4 linked regions of the Arabidopsis thaliana genome follow. The protein of the gene in region 1 interacts with the protein of each later gene in a pairwise test. Each region holds a gene or a part of one and is shown in the gene's direction. Other genes may lie near its edges. The genes, in order: NPR1, NIMIN1, NIMIN-3 and CUL3.

Region 1 (5,105 bases):
ATTGTGGGGCATAAATATATCTAGTGATGTTTAATTGTTTTTTATAAGGTAAAAAGGAATATTGAATTTTGTTTCTTAGGTTTATGTAATAATACCAAACATTGTTTTATGAATATTTAATCTGATTTTTTGGCTAGTTATTTTATTATATCAAGGGTTCCTGTTTATAGTTGAAAACAGTTACTGTATAGAAAATAGTGTCCCAATTTTCTCTCTTAAATAATATATTAGTTAATAAAAGATATTTTAATATATTAGATATACAATAATATCTAAAGCAACACATATTTAGACACAACACGTAATATCTTACTATTGTTTACATATATTTATAGCTTACCAATATAACCCGTATCTATGTTTTATAAGCTTTTATACAATATATGTACGGTATGCTGTCCACGTATATATATTCTCCAAAAAAAACGCATGGTACACAAAATTTATTAAATATTTGGCAATTGGGTGTTTATCTAAAGTTTATCACAATATTTATCAACTATAATAGATGGTAGAAGATAAAAAAATTATATCAGATTGATTCAATTAAATTTTATAATATATCATTTTAAAAAATTAATTAAAAGAAAACTATTTCATAAAATTGTTCAAAAGATAATTAGTAAAATTAATTAAATATGTGATGCTATTGAGTTATAGAGAGTTATTGTAAATTTACTTAAAATCATACAAATCTTATCCTAATTTAACTTATCATTTAAGAAATACAAAAGTAAAAAACGCGGAAAGCAATAATTTATTTACCTTATTATAACTCCTATATAAAGTACTCTGTTTATTCAACATAATCTTACGTTGTTGTATTCATAGGCATCTTTAACCTATCTTTTCATTTTCTGATCTCGATCGTTTTCGATCCAACAAAATGAGTCTACCGGTGAGGAACCAAGAGGTGATTATGCAGATTCCTTCTTCTTCTCAGTTTCCAGCAACATCGAGTCCGGAAAACACCAATCAAGTGAAGGATGAGCCAAATTTGTTTAGACGTGTTATGAATTTGCTTTTACGTCGTAGTTATTGAAAAAGCTGATTTATCGCATGATTCAGAACGAGAAGTTGAAGGCAAATAACTAAAGAAGTCTTTTATATGTATACAATAATTGTTTTTAAATCAAATCCTAATTAAAAAAATATATTCATTATGACTTTCATGTTTTTAATGTAATTTATTCCTATATCTATAATGATTTTGTTGTGAAGAGCGTTTTCATTTGCTATAGAACAAGGAGAATAGTTCCAGGAAATATTCGACTTGATTTAATTATAGTGTAAACATGCTGAACACTGAAAATTACTTTTTCAATAAACGAAAAATATAATATACATTACAAAACTTATGTGAATAAAGCATGAAACTTAATATACGTTCCCTTTATCATTTTACTTCAAAGAAAATAAACAGAAATGTAACTTTCACATGTAAATCTAATTCTTAAATTTAAAAAATAATATTTATATATTTATATGAAAATAACGAACCGGATGAAAAATAAATTTTATATATTTATATCATCTCCAAATCTAGTTTGGTTCAGGGGCTTACCGAACCGGATTGAACTTCTCATATACAAAAATTAGCAACACAAAATGTCTCCGGTATAAATACTAACATTTATAACCCGAACCGGTTTAGCTTCCTGTTATATCTTTTTAAAAAAGATCTCTGACAAAGATTCCTTTCCTGGAAATTTACCGGTTTTGGTGAAATGTAAACCGTGGGACGAGGATGCTTCTTCATATCTCACCACCACTCTCGTTGACTTGACTTGGCTCTGCTCGTCAATGGTTATCTTCGATCTTTAACCAAATCCAGTTGATAAGGTCTCTTCGTTGATTAGCAGAGATCTCTTTAATTTGTGAATTTCAATTCATCGGAACCTGTTGATGGACACCACCATTGATGGATTCGCCGATTCTTATGAAATCAGCAGCACTAGTTTCGTCGCTACCGATAACACCGACTCCTCTATTGTTTATCTGGCCGCCGAACAAGTACTCACCGGACCTGATGTATCTGCTCTGCAATTGCTCTCCAACAGCTTCGAATCCGTCTTTGACTCGCCGGATGATTTCTACAGCGACGCTAAGCTTGTTCTCTCCGACGGCCGGGAAGTTTCTTTCCACCGGTGCGTTTTGTCAGCGAGAAGCTCTTTCTTCAAGAGCGCTTTAGCCGCCGCTAAGAAGGAGAAAGACTCCAACAACACCGCCGCCGTGAAGCTCGAGCTTAAGGAGATTGCCAAGGATTACGAAGTCGGTTTCGATTCGGTTGTGACTGTTTTGGCTTATGTTTACAGCAGCAGAGTGAGACCGCCGCCTAAAGGAGTTTCTGAATGCGCAGACGAGAATTGCTGCCACGTGGCTTGCCGGCCGGCGGTGGATTTCATGTTGGAGGTTCTCTATTTGGCTTTCATCTTCAAGATCCCTGAATTAATTACTCTCTATCAGGTAAAACACCATCTGCATTAAGCTATGGTTACACATTCATGAATATGTTCTTACTTGAGTACTTGTATTTGTATTTCAGAGGCACTTATTGGACGTTGTAGACAAAGTTGTTATAGAGGACACATTGGTTATACTCAAGCTTGCTAATATATGTGGTAAAGCTTGTATGAAGCTATTGGATAGATGTAAAGAGATTATTGTCAAGTCTAATGTAGATATGGTTAGTCTTGAAAAGTCATTGCCGGAAGAGCTTGTTAAAGAGATAATTGATAGACGTAAAGAGCTTGGTTTGGAGGTACCTAAAGTAAAGAAACATGTCTCGAATGTACATAAGGCACTTGACTCGGATGATATTGAGTTAGTCAAGTTGCTTTTGAAAGAGGATCACACCAATCTAGATGATGCGTGTGCTCTTCATTTCGCTGTTGCATATTGCAATGTGAAGACCGCAACAGATCTTTTAAAACTTGATCTTGCCGATGTCAACCATAGGAATCCGAGGGGATATACGGTGCTTCATGTTGCTGCGATGCGGAAGGAGCCACAATTGATACTATCTCTATTGGAAAAAGGTGCAAGTGCATCAGAAGCAACTTTGGAAGGTAGAACCGCACTCATGATCGCAAAACAAGCCACTATGGCGGTTGAATGTAATAATATCCCGGAGCAATGCAAGCATTCTCTCAAAGGCCGACTATGTGTAGAAATACTAGAGCAAGAAGACAAACGAGAACAAATTCCTAGAGATGTTCCTCCCTCTTTTGCAGTGGCGGCCGATGAATTGAAGATGACGCTGCTCGATCTTGAAAATAGAGGTATCTATCAAGTCTTATTTCTTATATGTTTGAATTAAATTTATGTCCTCTCTATTAGGAAACTGAGTGAACTAATGATAACTATTCTTTGTGTCGTCCACTGTTTAGTTGCACTTGCTCAACGTCTTTTTCCAACGGAAGCACAAGCTGCAATGGAGATCGCCGAAATGAAGGGAACATGTGAGTTCATAGTGACTAGCCTCGAGCCTGACCGTCTCACTGGTACGAAGAGAACATCACCGGGTGTAAAGATAGCACCTTTCAGAATCCTAGAAGAGCATCAAAGTAGACTAAAAGCGCTTTCTAAAACCGGTATGGATTCTCACCCACTTCATCGGACTCCTTATCACAAAAAACAAAACTAAATGATCTTTAAACATGGTTTTGTTACTTGCTGTCTGACCTTGTTTTTTTATCATCAGTGGAACTCGGGAAACGATTCTTCCCGCGCTGTTCGGCAGTGCTCGACCAGATTATGAACTGTGAGGACTTGACTCAACTGGCTTGCGGAGAAGACGACACTGCTGAGAAACGACTACAAAAGAAGCAAAGGTACATGGAAATACAAGAGACACTAAAGAAGGCCTTTAGTGAGGACAATTTGGAATTAGGAAATTCGTCCCTGACAGATTCGACTTCTTCCACATCGAAATCAACCGGTGGAAAGAGGTCTAACCGTAAACTCTCTCATCGTCGTCGGTGAGACTCTTGCCTCTTAGTGTAATTTTTGCTGTACCATATAATTCTGTTTTCATGATGACTGTAACTGTTTATGTCTATCGTTGGCGTCATATAGTTTCGCTCTTCGTTTTGCATCCTGTGTATTATTGCTGCAGGTGTGCTTCAAACAAATGTTGTAACAATTTGAACCAATGGTATACAGATTTGTAATATATATTTATGTACATCAACAATAACCCATGATGGTGTTACAGAGTTGCTAGAATCAAAGTGTGAAATAATGTCAAATTGTTCATCTGTTGGATATTTTCCACCAAGAACCAAAAGAATATTCAAGTTCCCTGAACTTCTGGCAACATTCATGTTATATGTATCTTCCTAATTCTTCCTTTAACCTTTTGTAACTCGAATTACACAGCAAGTTAGTTTCAGGTCTAGAGATAAGAGAACACTGAGTGGGCGTGTAAGGTGCATTCTCCTAGTCAGCTCCATTGCATCCAACATTTGTGAATGACACAAGTTAACAATCCTTTGCACCATTTCTGGGTGCATACATGGAAACTTCTTCGATTGAAACTTCCCACATGTGCAGGTGCGTTCGCTGTCACTGATAGACCAAGAGACTGAAAGCTTTCACAAATTGCCCTCAAATCTTCTGTTTCTATCGTCATGACTCCATATCTCCGACCACTGGTCATGAGCCAGAGCCCACTGATTTTGAGGGAATTGGGCTAACCATTTCCGAGCTTCTGAGTCCTTCTTTTTGATGTCCTTTATGTAGGAATCAAATTCTTCCTTCTGACTTGTGGATCCAGCCTGCTTCACAAGGCTCACCAGGTTGTAGTCTCCAAAAATATCATGGAATTGTAAGCAAAAACAATCCAGACAGAACCTGTGATAGACCCAAGGTTCTTGCCACAGTGATCCGGGTTCGTTAATAACAGCAACTATGTCCGGGTGAGGACTGGAGACGAGGCAAACGTCTTTCCTTTGTGTTACCTTCTCTCTGATATTAGTGAGAAACCAACGCCAACTATCAGTGGACACTTCTTTGGTAAGCGGAAAGGCAAGCGGGAAAAAGCAATCATCAGCGTCGAGTCCTGAGGAAATCATCAATTTCATAGGGTACTTGCCGTTCAAGTC
Region 2 (2,885 bases), about 23 Mb from region 1:
CATAAAAATTAGCACAAAAAAAAAGTATTCAACAATTAAAAAATTATCAAATCTCTGTGTTATATAAGTTTTGATACTATATTTGAATAAAGTGTAATATACCTTTTTAATTTGTATTCTTTAACTAATTTAAGCTAACTAATATATTTGCTAATCTTATATCTATCAAAACCGACTATCGTTTCTTATCTCTATAGTATTTTTGCAAGAATGTTTTGGTGGATTTGGATAAAAATGCATTCAGGTCATATGGTACATTCCCCTATTAAATAAATATGGTGCACTCTTATGTTATTAGCTAAAATGTTTAGATTATAATTCAGAGTCAACATGGAGGGACGAGTTTTTGAATCAACATTAATAAAAAAGTAAAATATAATTAATCCACCGTTTCAATATGGGTTAAATCATTAATTTTAAGACCACTAATATTAAACATATCAAATCATCCTAATTTAGAAAAAATTATATAAAACCAAAAATGTTATGTGGTATGTATAATGTTACTATATATAAAATTAAACTATAAAATATAAATGTATTAGAGAATGATACAATTTGCAAAACTTTTATATATAAAAAATAATTCTTAAATTTTAAAAATTACTACTTTAAAAAAAAATCATGGGACGCCTAAAGAAATTACAGAACGTGTTTTATTTTGGAATTGGGTTATATGGTGGATGTATTTGAATCAATATTTATAAAATTTTAAAATATTATTAATATGCTGTTTTAATAGGGGTCAAAACTTCAGTTTTTTTAACAATTGTCTCATGAATTCGTGGTATAGCGTTACTTAATAACAATTATAAACTGTAAAATATAAATATTTTATAAAAATAAAATTTGCAAGTTTTAATATATATTATTTTTAAAAATAAATCGTCCCGCGATATACCGCGGGTTAAAATCTAGTTTCTTTTTGTTTATGTAACATCAATAGAGGTAATCTAATTACCATTCATTTAAAATACCAAAAATAGGGGAAAAAATGTTCTTCGTTGGAATCCAATTGTTCCACACAAATTTCACATATACAAATTAATTTAATTTACATACAAGTGGCCGACAATATGAGATTTTATTCGACAAATCTTTTATATAACCTCATCATTCACAATTTAATAGTAAAATAGTACGTTAATATATCAACCTTTTCAAGCATTATGGTATTCTCCATCCTTAGATTCAAAAACATATGCCTGAAATATTAGATCTAACGGTTGATAGTAATAGAGTGCTGTACACTCGGATCTACTAGAATATCTCTCCAAGACCAACCACGAGTAAAGTAAACGCATCAAGTCAAGTTTTTGATGATTAGAGTCTTTCTTTATTTCAAAAGTATATCCAAGTAGATTAGTGTTGTATAGATTACGTCATCATTGTGACATCATCTCGTAACCGCTTCATGTCACGTTGTCATCCCAAACACATCATCATCTGACGTAATTTTAACGTTGATATCTCCGCGTTCTTTTACTCTTTTACCCCTGGTCCCTTTTTTAACAATTATAAAAATTATGATTACTATTTTGAATTTACAGGGAACCAAAAAACCCATTTATAAAGTTTCGAAATTAAATATCCTAACTAACTTGGAAAAATATCTCCAATTTTCGTTTTTTGTGGTTTAAATTGTAACTAGGAAACTAAAAGGACTAAAGAGTAAAAGAGGTGGGGACAGGGTGTTTTAGTCTTTTTCTAAGAAGTTTCGTGATGACTAATTTTTTTCCTTTAAAAGAAAGTCATCAGACGAAAAGGATTATTTGCCTTCTTCACTCTCCAAAATCAATCACTTTCTCTAAATGTATCCTAAACAATTTAGTTTATACAATTATTCCCTAGAGACCATGAGCAAGGATGAGAATGTGGAGAGCAAAGAGACGATCAGGGTTGATAAGAGAGTAAGAGAAGACGAAGAAGAGGAAGAAGAGAAGAAGATTGATACGTTCTTTAAGCTTATCAAACACTATCAAGAAGCACGGAAACGTAGACGAGAAGAGTTAGCTGAAAATTCTGGCGTCGTGAGGAGGAAATCTAACGGCGGAGAAAGGTCCGGTATAGTAGTTCCGGCGTTTCAGCCGGAGGATTTCTCTCAGTGTCGTACGGGTTTGAAGCCGCCATTGATGTTTGTTTCGGATCACAAGGAAGAAAATACAAAGGTGGAACAAGAAGAAGATCAAACAGAAGAGCGAAACGAAGACAAGGCTTTAGATCTTAATCTTGCATTGTAGTAGCAATTAGTTTTAATCTATTTTTAATTGTCCATGTTTCATTTGTTAGCGTTGTGATTATTAAATCCTTCATTTAACTAAAATGTCCGATAATTAACTTTAAAATGAATAAACTCAAAAGAATCGTGAGGCAAAACATCCTGTCAGATGGGATTGATTCGGTAAACCGTAATTCTTTAGAGCAAAACCAAAACCAATAAAATTTATCATTCTGTAAGAATTGAATATTGCAAAGTTTGTTTAAATTTTATGTGTTGTATAATTATCTGTTTAAGAAGATCATTACTTTAAACCTTTTTTGCTGACCAGATTTGTTATCTAGTCAAATATAAAGATTATAACAAATACGCAACTAGTTGCATAAACAAATATGAATCGGACAACTAATAATCCAAAAGTCAACCAGATGACTTTTGATTGTGATTCCTCGGATCTTGAAACAGACTAGACAACTCTGAACTCTTAAGCTTTAACCACCACTTGACTTTGAAAAACTCTCTCAAGGACTCTCCTTGTGATTCATATTTTCCAAAGCCAAAAAAAGTCAACTTCGTTGCAAGAACCAGAAAAAAATGGGGACGACTCTGGGAAAGCCATTTGCCGGTTTTTTTCACCAAGAAGAAGCGAGGATCGTGTTGTTTGGTC
Region 3 (3,111 bases), about 21 Mb from region 1:
CAAGCAAGATAGAATAAGACATTAACAGCTTTTCTTCTTCAGGGAGAATCAGAAGCAAATAGAATCTTTTACCTCTCAGTACCTCAAGAAGCTCTGGTGGATGTGGCATGCACCATTGGAGATAACGCTCAGGCACCACGAGGCTGGACTCGAATAATAGTTGAGAAACCTTTTGGTTTTAACTCACATTCGTCTCATCAGTTAACAAAGTCACTTCTCTCTAAGTTTGAAGAGAAGCAAATCTACAGGTCCTTCTTTTAAATCTAGTTGCTTTCTGCATGCACAGCTCTCAAGTTCATATTTCTTCACACTTCTGTGCCCGTTACAGGATAGATCACATGTTAGGAAGAAACCTCATTGAAAATCTGACAGTGTTAAGGTTTTCAAATCTAGTTTTTGAACCACTATGGAACAGAACATACATACGCAATATACAGGTAGTGTTTCCTTCTGATTGTTTGTAGTTGTGTATAGTGCCTGAACTTTCCTCTTCCACATTCTGGTTTGTTCACTTTGTGTATAAATGATGTTTCCAGGTTATTATATCAGAATCAATTGCGCAAACAGAAAAGTAAGGCACAATAGTTCTATTTTCACCATTTCTTTGCATGTGAGAGTAAATTGTGTTGTTTCAGCATTCTTAGACAAATCAGTAATGTTATTTTCTAATTTCCTACTGCTTTTTTTAAGGTTTTCTGATGGATATGGAATAATACGGGACATAGTGCACAGCCATATACTTCAGACAATCGCATTACTTGCCATGGAACCTCCGATAAGTCTCGATGGTGAAGATATCCGAAATGAAAAGGTCAACCTGTACTGTAAAGAACAAAATCGTCTTATGGTATATATGTAAGTTGTGTACTCTTGTTCTGTCAAGTGACTTGGTGACAAACCTGCTTCTGCAGGTGAAGGTTTTAAGATCAATTCGCAAGATAGACCCGCGTGATGTCATCCTTGGCCAGTATAAATCCAGTTCCCGAGACAAGAACGGTGTGATCTTGAACGGTGTAGACCCTACATATTGTGCAGCAGCCTTGTATATTGATAATGCACGTTGGGATGGTGTACCTTTCCTTGTAAGAGTTGGCACTGGCCTCATTAAACACAGGTAAGAATAATTATTCCTACTCATAGACATATCCAACTGTCATAACAATTGATTGGTGTGCCTTAATGTTGAAAGAGTGGAGATTCATGTGCAATTCCGGCATGTTCCTGGAAACCTATACCGAGAAAATATTGGAATAAACATAGATTTGGGGACAAATGAGCTTATTCTACGTGACGAACCTGATGAGGCCATCCTGGTGAAAATCAACAACAAGGTTCCTGGTTTAGGTCTTCAGCTAGACGCTTCTGAACTTAACTTGCTCTATAAAGACAGGCAAGTTTTGCATTCTCATCTTTGTTCCTACACATTTTAAAAATCGAACTTTTGCGCCTTATGGTTGGTTGAATTGTTGGATCAAACCTGTAGGTATAAAACCGAAGTACCAGACTCATATGAACACCTAATTCATGATGTAATTGACGGAGACAATCATCTGTTCATGAGAAGCGATGAGGTTGCAGCAGCATGGAACATTCTTAGTCCGGTTCTAGAAGAGATAGACAAGCATCACACAGCTCCGGAGTTGTATGAATTTGGTGGACGAGGACCAGTTGCGGCATACTATCTTTGGGCCAAGCACGGTGTCCCATGGGCAGATGACTGAAGAAGAAACATAGATGCAGCAACAAACAAATGAGAGTGATTCTGAATGGTTATTGTGAAGTGTGTTTGTTTAGCTTGAAGCTGTGCCATTCCCTGTAGACTGTACATATGTACACATGTATGTCATGTTGCTATATGAATGTCCATCATGGTGGGGTCCATAATAGTGTTGAAAAGTCTCCAAAGCCACCCAAAGGAAAGAAGAAAGTCTGAGAGACTTTTAGATAAGGTCATGTTGTTAGTCTTCCCACTAGAGGCAATAATTATATCTTCTCCACCAATTCCTCCAGAAAATTCTTCCAGATGTATCATGTGTTGATGATCAAAGTAGGATGAAAATGATGTAACTAAAGAGAAACATTTTCATAGGGGAAGGAAGAGAGAGCGGTTCAATGGACAGAGACAGAAAGAGGGTGAAAATGGAGAAGGAAGATGACGAAGAAGAAAAGATGGAGAAGTTGTACACAGTGCTTAAAAACGCAAGGGAAATGCGGAAATATGTCAACAGCTCCATGGAGAAGAAGAGACAGGAAGAAGAAGAAAGAGCAAGGGTTCGTAGATTCCCTTCGTTTCAGCCAGAAGATTTCATTTTCATGAATAAAGCAGAGGCCAACAACATTGAAAAAGCAGCTAATGAGAGCTCTTCAGCATCCAACGAGTATGATGGCTCTAAGGAAAAGCAAGAAGGATCTGAGACTAACGTTTGTTTAGACTTGAATCTTTCTCTGTAGCATACATACATACAAGAGACAAAGAGCTCTTCAGTTTCTGTATAAGCAACAAAGAATGTTAGTAACTACGTACCAAAAACAAATGTGTCATGGAATTCTAGTTTTGCTTGAAGATTGTTCATCACTTCTTATTAACCATATTGAAGAAAATGCTACAAATGCACATTGATAACAAGATCAGTAAAAAAATATATATATATTAGCAGAAGAACTTAGAGAGAACTCTCATCAATGGCTGAGCAAGTTCCTATGGTTTGCGAGAATTACTCCATTTTGCCAACGCTCCAACGAGGATTGATAGCTAAGCCTAAGATTAAAAAAAAACATTCTGCTTGGCATTTATTGAATCTCACCAGTAATCTTTACAGGAACACTCTCCGTTTCTGAAGTGATGGAATCTGTTTGCATCTCTTAGAATGATCTCCCTCTCTTTCACCTTAGAGATTATTTTTATTGCTGTGTGGCAATCACTACAAACTCTAAGGTTCTTCATGACTCGGATGGGTATTCCTTCAGATAGCTTTAAAAGAGCATAAGCTACCGCTAGTCTCTCGCTATGATATTTCAGGCTATTGACTTTCTCTTCCTCGTCTACATCGTGCAATGCATAGCTGCAATCAGGATTATACCCGGCTTCTCTCAATAACCCATCCAATTCAT
Region 4 (5,596 bases), about 15 Mb from region 1:
AATACGCTCCAGGCCACTGCATTGCAACGCACATACACAAACATAAAATTTCAAAGTACAATGATAATTCTTGTAGAGACATTTATCGACTTTAATTACCTGTAAAACGAAGTAGAAGAAATCGAAATCTTGGGCGAAACTTTGTACGTAGAGTTGTTGTAACGCTAGAATAAAAATGAAGAATTTCATTTCCTCAAGATATCAAATAATTTGTGGGAATCAAATTTGTCGAAAACCAATGAAGGATGGATGATAGATAAATAGTTTAGAATATGTTTATATAAGTCATATAACGTGAAGTGTGATATTTTGTTTTGGGTAGAGAGACGTGACGTGTGATTGGTATATGTTTGCTTAATTGTGTTAGGTTAGTATTTCGTGCAAGCATTTTATTTTCAGCTCCAATGCTTTAAAAAGTAATAACGTAAGGCAAACTTTTCATCATGCTTCAACTACAAAATTATGAGTATTTTGTAGCTCCAATTAACGTAACGTAAGGCAAACTTTCCAGCTCCAATGTTTTAGAGCTAGCCGAATATTATGTGTCTCAGTATTTATAAAATTATGAGTATTCGATTGGAAAAATAAATAAAGAAACTCTTATAGTATTCACTTAAAGACCTTTGTTTCTTAAATTTTAAATATTTAAATCCACTTAAAGATCCTTGTTTCTCATAAAGTGTTAAAGACCCATAAAGGCATAAATCAAACCATTGTCCCGTCTCGGAAACGTACGTCAAGTTTCTTGATGAGGCGCATGTTGGCTACTTGGTTCTACTTCTACAGTTACAGACTCCAGTGTGTACCGTATTCTATCAAGTTCTGCATTTATGCAAGAACCTTAGGTATCACAAATATTTGGGGGCAATAAAATTATAAAAATTCCTTACAGTGCAGCGATTTATGTCACATTTTCAGCCAAGAGGTTGTGTGTTCGAGTTCCCTCAACTACTTCTGCTAATTTTTTTATTAAAAAAAAAAAACTTTAGACCGCCCATAACTTTGAGCCGGCAATGATCCTACCTCACAATCATACTAAAATCTACCAATGATCCTTACCATGTTTTGGCGCTTGAGGTGGATACGAATAATCCACTAGTTGGGTTAACCTTATAGGGAAGGTGAAGATTGTTATAAAGTTTGTAGATTATACAATGAAAAGTAAGAAGATAGGTCCAAGTCAAAGTTTGTATGATTAAAACAAGAAAGATGGTATATACCATGCGTTGCTTTCCAGAAAATGGCTTCAAGAAAGCAAAGACAAAGAATATCATCATGAGCTTGACCAGGGATAAGGAAGAAGATCCATTGACGTGTTTACAACGACAAAAACTAGTTAGAAGTTAGAACATAGTGTCGCTGAAGTTGTGGAGGAAATGCATTTTTTAAACAGATGCATAGAGACGATTGAATATGGCATCGAAACAGTGAATGCAAGCAACAAAGGTTGGTAAACTGGTGAAGAGAAAGGTAACAGACGATATAACTTTTTTTGTGAATGAATTAAAAGGGATTTTTTTTTTTCGTCAAGAAGCTGAAATTTCATTAAACCGAAACTTAAACCGATACATAAGTTGGTACAATAAGTGCATAATTTAATGCAGATTTTGCATATGCATATGCACAACCGTTTTTTTCTCTAAAAATGAAGTGAAAAGAAATTTGATCGAAATTAAACGAAAGAGCAAGAACATCTTGGAAAATCACGTAGAGATTCTTTGGGAAGGATTCTGAGTTGATAGCTTTGATCAGCGTTTGCAAATCTGAAGCGAAGGTGACTTCCTAAAACCGAGTTCTAAGGCATTTTGTTGGGCTAGATGAAGCGCCATGGCTTCTGCCAAAAGAGGAGAAGCAACATTCGCCACTCTAAGGGATTCAAAGCCTCTTTATGAAATAGAAGTTGACATATTTTTAGTTCAATTAAATGAAATGACCGACGTGCCAATTTGTCATATCCACATAAGTATAAAAGCTAACTAAACCTCCAATGTCAAAAAAAAAAAAATAACTGGCTTCGACTAGGGATCGATCCTTGGACTTCGATATTTCACAATTCTTTGTAACCAATATACCAAAGGACGAGAATGTGACAACCGCGACTTTAATTTAATAAATACGTTATAGTTTGGAAACCACCAGCAGAGACGGAGAGTCCACTTTTATTTCTTCCGCTCCGTTTGGTCTGTCCTCTTCTTCTTCTCCACCTTCGAAATCTATCTTCTCCGATACCTCTCTATCTATATCTCTTCGACGCTGCAAATTAGCCTTAAGCTTCTTTCTCCTTTAAACTTTTCGATTATTATTCCATTTCCTATCTTTTTGTTTCCCCCAAATCTTTTCACGGAAGCAAAGAATACAATTCCAAACCCTAATCCCGATCATCCGTCTTTCCTCTCCGGTCAGTCTTCCGATTTCCTCGATCCACCTGATTTTCATTATGATTATACATATATACTTTCTTCTCGCTCGTCAATTTTTTCGTTGCTGTGTGAATTTAGATTGATTTGTTTTGGATTCAGGTTTCAAAATATGAGTAATCAGAAGAAGAGGAATTTTCAGATAGAGGCGTTTAAGCATCGAGTCGTTGTGGATCCCAAATACGCTGATAAAACTTGGCAGATTCTTGAGCGTGCGATCCATCAGATTTACAATCAAGATGCTAGCGGTCTCAGTTTCGAAGAACTTTACAGGTCAATTTCTTTCATTCTCTTGCCTTTCTTTGAATCCTGTAGAAACTGGTAATGTTTCTGGAACTTAGCTAGGTTTCGTGTTAATGGAATTATTTGTGTATATTGTGGCTCAGAAATGCGTACAACATGGTCCTGCACAAGTTTGGTGAGAAGCTATATACTGGGTTTATTGCTACTATGACTTCTCATCTCAAAGAAAAATCCAAGCTTATCGAGGCAGCTCAGGGAGGGTCGTTTCTAGAAGAGCTTAATAAGAAATGGAATGAGCACAACAAAGCGTTAGAGATGATTCGAGACATTCTCATGTATATGGATAGGACTTATATTGAGAGCACCAAAAAGACTCATGTTCATCCGATGGGGCTTAACTTGTGGAGGGATAATGTTGTGCATTTCACTAAGATACATACAAGGCTTCTAAACACTCTTCTTGATCTAGTGCAGAAGGAACGGATAGGTGAAGTTATTGATAGGGGGTTGATGAGGAATGTCATTAAGATGTTTATGGATTTGGGTGAATCTGTGTATCAGGAGGATTTTGAGAAGCCGTTTTTGGATGCGTCTTCTGAGTTTTATAAGGTTGAGTCTCAGGAGTTTATTGAATCTTGTGATTGTGGGGACTATCTGAAGAAATCAGAGAAACGCCTTACTGAAGAGATAGAGAGGGTAGCGCACTACTTAGATGCCAAGAGCGAAGAGAAGATTACTAGTGTGGTTGAGAAAGAGATGATTGCCAACCACATGCAGAGACTGGTTCACATGGAGAACTCAGGTCTGGTTAATATGCTTCTGAATGACAAGTATGAGGATTTGGGTAGAATGTACAACTTGTTTCGCAGGGTTACTAATGGTCTTGTTACTGTCAGAGACGTTATGACTTCGCATCTTAGGGAGATGGGAAAACAACTGGTTACTGATCCGGAAAAGTCAAAGGATCCGGTGGAATTTGTACAACGTCTATTGGATGAGCGGGATAAATATGACAAAATCATCAACACCGCATTTGGCAATGATAAAACCTTTCAGAATGCCCTGAATTCTTCATTCGAGTATTTCATCAACTTGAATGCTCGTTCTCCTGAGTTTATCTCCCTGTTTGTTGATGACAAGCTACGGAAAGGACTTAAGGGTATCACCGATGTGGATGTTGAGGTTATCCTTGATAAAGTGATGATGCTGTTCCGTTATTTACAAGAGAAAGATGTCTTTGAGAAGTACTACAAGCAGCATTTGGCTAAAAGGCTTCTCTCAGGCAAAACTGTGTCAGATGACGCAGAAAGGAGTTTAATAGTGAAACTAAAGACAGAATGTGGCTATCAGTTCACTTCAAAATTGGAAGGCATGTTCACTGACATGAAGACTTCAGAGGACACAATGCGTGGGTTTTATGGCAGTCACCCCGAGCTTTCAGAAGGACCTACACTTATTGTTCAGGTACTTACAACTGGTTCTTGGCCAACACAGCCTGCAGTACCTTGTAATCTCCCAGCTGAAGTTTCAGTTCTCTGTGAGAAGTTCCGTTCTTACTACCTTGGGACACATACCGGTAGAAGATTGTCCTGGCAAACAAACATGGGCACAGCAGATATCAAAGCCATCTTTGGAAAGGGTCAGAAACATGAACTGAACGTGTCGACTTTCCAGATGTGTGTTCTCATGTTGTTCAACAATTCTGATCGACTCAGCTACAAAGAGATCGAACAGGCTACAGAAATCCCGGCAGCAGATCTTAAACGCTGTTTGCAGTCGCTAGCTTGTGTAAAGGGCAAAAACGTGATAAAGAAAGAACCCATGAGCAAAGACATAGGAGAGGAGGATTTGTTCGTTGTGAACGACAAGTTCACTAGCAAGTTTTACAAAGTGAAGATCGGAACTGTGGTTGCCCAAAAGGAAACAGAACCGGAGAAGCAAGAGACGAGACAGAGAGTGGAGGAAGACAGAAAACCTCAGATTGAAGCAGCCATCGTAAGGATCATGAAGTCCAGGAAAATACTAGACCACAACAACATAATCGCCGAGGTGACGAAACAGTTGCAGCCACGGTTCCTAGCTAATCCCACGGAGATAAAGAAGAGAATCGAGTCGCTCATTGAACGAGATTTCTTGGAAAGGGATAGTACAGACCGGAAACTTTACCGCTATCTAGCCTAAATAAGTTGAATACCACAACCCAAAAAAAAAAGGCTTTACTCTGTTTCTTTCTTTGCTTTATTTCCTTATGTTTGATGTAAAATCTTTTGAACTGTACGGTAGTCGGTAAGAACGAACCAACACAGCGTCACTACCGGTTTAATCGAATATACATTTGTTTCCTTTTCTTTTGTCTTTCATCAGATACCGTATGTGATTTCAGCTTCTGGACACGTTGGGCCGGCTCGAGGCCTTTTAAGGCCCATTTTAAACGGTTAAGAGCCAAAAAAAACATTCGCGGCTAAAATTTCAACCAGGCGTAAAAAAATCCCGCCAAACGTTGGCAACGCTTTGTTTATAGCGTTTTCATAGCCTAATCGGTTCCATTGACATTTCTAGGGGAAAAAATCTCTCACAGTGTCTGACTTTGGTTCTTTGTCTTGTAACAATCGCCGGAAAATTAAGGATATGGATATCTCCGACATAGGTAGGAAACTTAGTCTCGATAACAACAAGCTTTTAATCAGAAAAGCTGCAGAGATCCGCCGTCTTTGCGATGCTCAGTTCGATTCATCCATCATCGGCGTTGTAAGATAAATCCGATTCTGAATCCCAAAGTTTCACATCGAGTACTTTGATTATAATTTTTCCTTATGTGTTGAGAATTTGATTTTTCTATCAGGGTGAGATCTGTAAAGCTGTGATTTGTCTAGAAATCGCCGCCACTAGGTAAATAATTATCGTAATTGATTTATAACGATTTCAATATCCATAGT

Evidence for each region.
Region 2: the proteins of NPR1 (region 1) and NIMIN1 interact in binary tests that used the Arabidopsis thaliana proteins (3 or more experiments, as listed by UniProt).
Region 3: the proteins of NPR1 (region 1) and NIMIN-3 interact in binary tests that used the Arabidopsis thaliana proteins (3 or more experiments, as listed by UniProt).
Region 4: the proteins of NPR1 (region 1) and CUL3 interact in binary tests that used the Arabidopsis thaliana proteins (3 or more experiments, as listed by UniProt).

What each region holds. Positions count from the first base shown.
Region 1 is NC_003070.9:23,852,208-23,857,312, reverse strand, and holds NPR1 (regulatory protein (NPR1)), read left to right. Parts: upstream 1-1,654; 5' UTR 1,655-1,905; coding exon 1,906-2,466; intron 2,467-2,545; coding exon 2,546-3,281; intron 3,282-3,389; coding exon 3,390-3,593; intron 3,594-3,703; coding exon 3,704-3,984; 3' UTR 3,985-4,565; downstream 4,566-5,105. UniProt on the Arabidopsis thaliana protein: Salicylic acid (SA)-binding substrate-specific adapter of an E3 ubiquitin-protein ligase complex (CUL3-RBX1-BTB) which mediates the ubiquitination and subsequent proteasomal degradation of target proteins.
Region 2 is NC_003070.9:497,407-500,291, reverse strand, and holds NIMIN1 (NIM1-interacting 1), read left to right. Parts: upstream 1-1,752; 5' UTR 1,753-1,811; coding exon 1,812-2,240; 3' UTR 2,241-2,375; downstream 2,376-2,885. Other genes in the region: ARFD1A (ADP-ribosylation factor D1A), read left to right, coding at 2,813-2,885.
Region 3 is NC_003070.9:3,037,250-3,040,360, reverse strand, and holds NIMIN-3 (NIM1-interacting 3), read left to right. Parts: upstream 1-1,952; 5' UTR 1,953-2,112; coding exon 2,113-2,451; 3' UTR 2,452-2,607; downstream 2,608-3,111. Other genes in the region: G6PD4 (glucose-6-phosphate dehydrogenase 4), read left to right, coding at 43-248, 329-437, 537-571, 691-847, 918-1,114, 1,190-1,390, 1,484-1,721; AT1G09410 (pentatricopeptide (PPR) repeat-containing protein), read right to left, coding at 2,801-3,111.
Region 4 is NC_003070.9:9,293,534-9,299,129, forward strand, and holds CUL3 (cullin 3), read left to right. Parts: upstream 1-2,031; 5' UTR 2,032-2,398; intron 2,399-2,519; 5' UTR 2,520-2,529; coding exon 2,530-2,690; intron 2,691-2,803; coding exon 2,804-4,841; 3' UTR 4,842-5,096; downstream 5,097-5,596. Other genes in the region: RNS3 (ribonuclease 3), read right to left, coding at 1-16, 100-189; ORC6 (origin recognition complex protein 6), read left to right, coding at 5,289-5,408, 5,503-5,549. UniProt on the Arabidopsis thaliana protein: Component of the cullin-RING ubiquitin ligases (CRL), or CUL3-RBX1-BTB protein E3 ligase complexes which mediate the ubiquitination and subsequent proteasomal degradation of target proteins.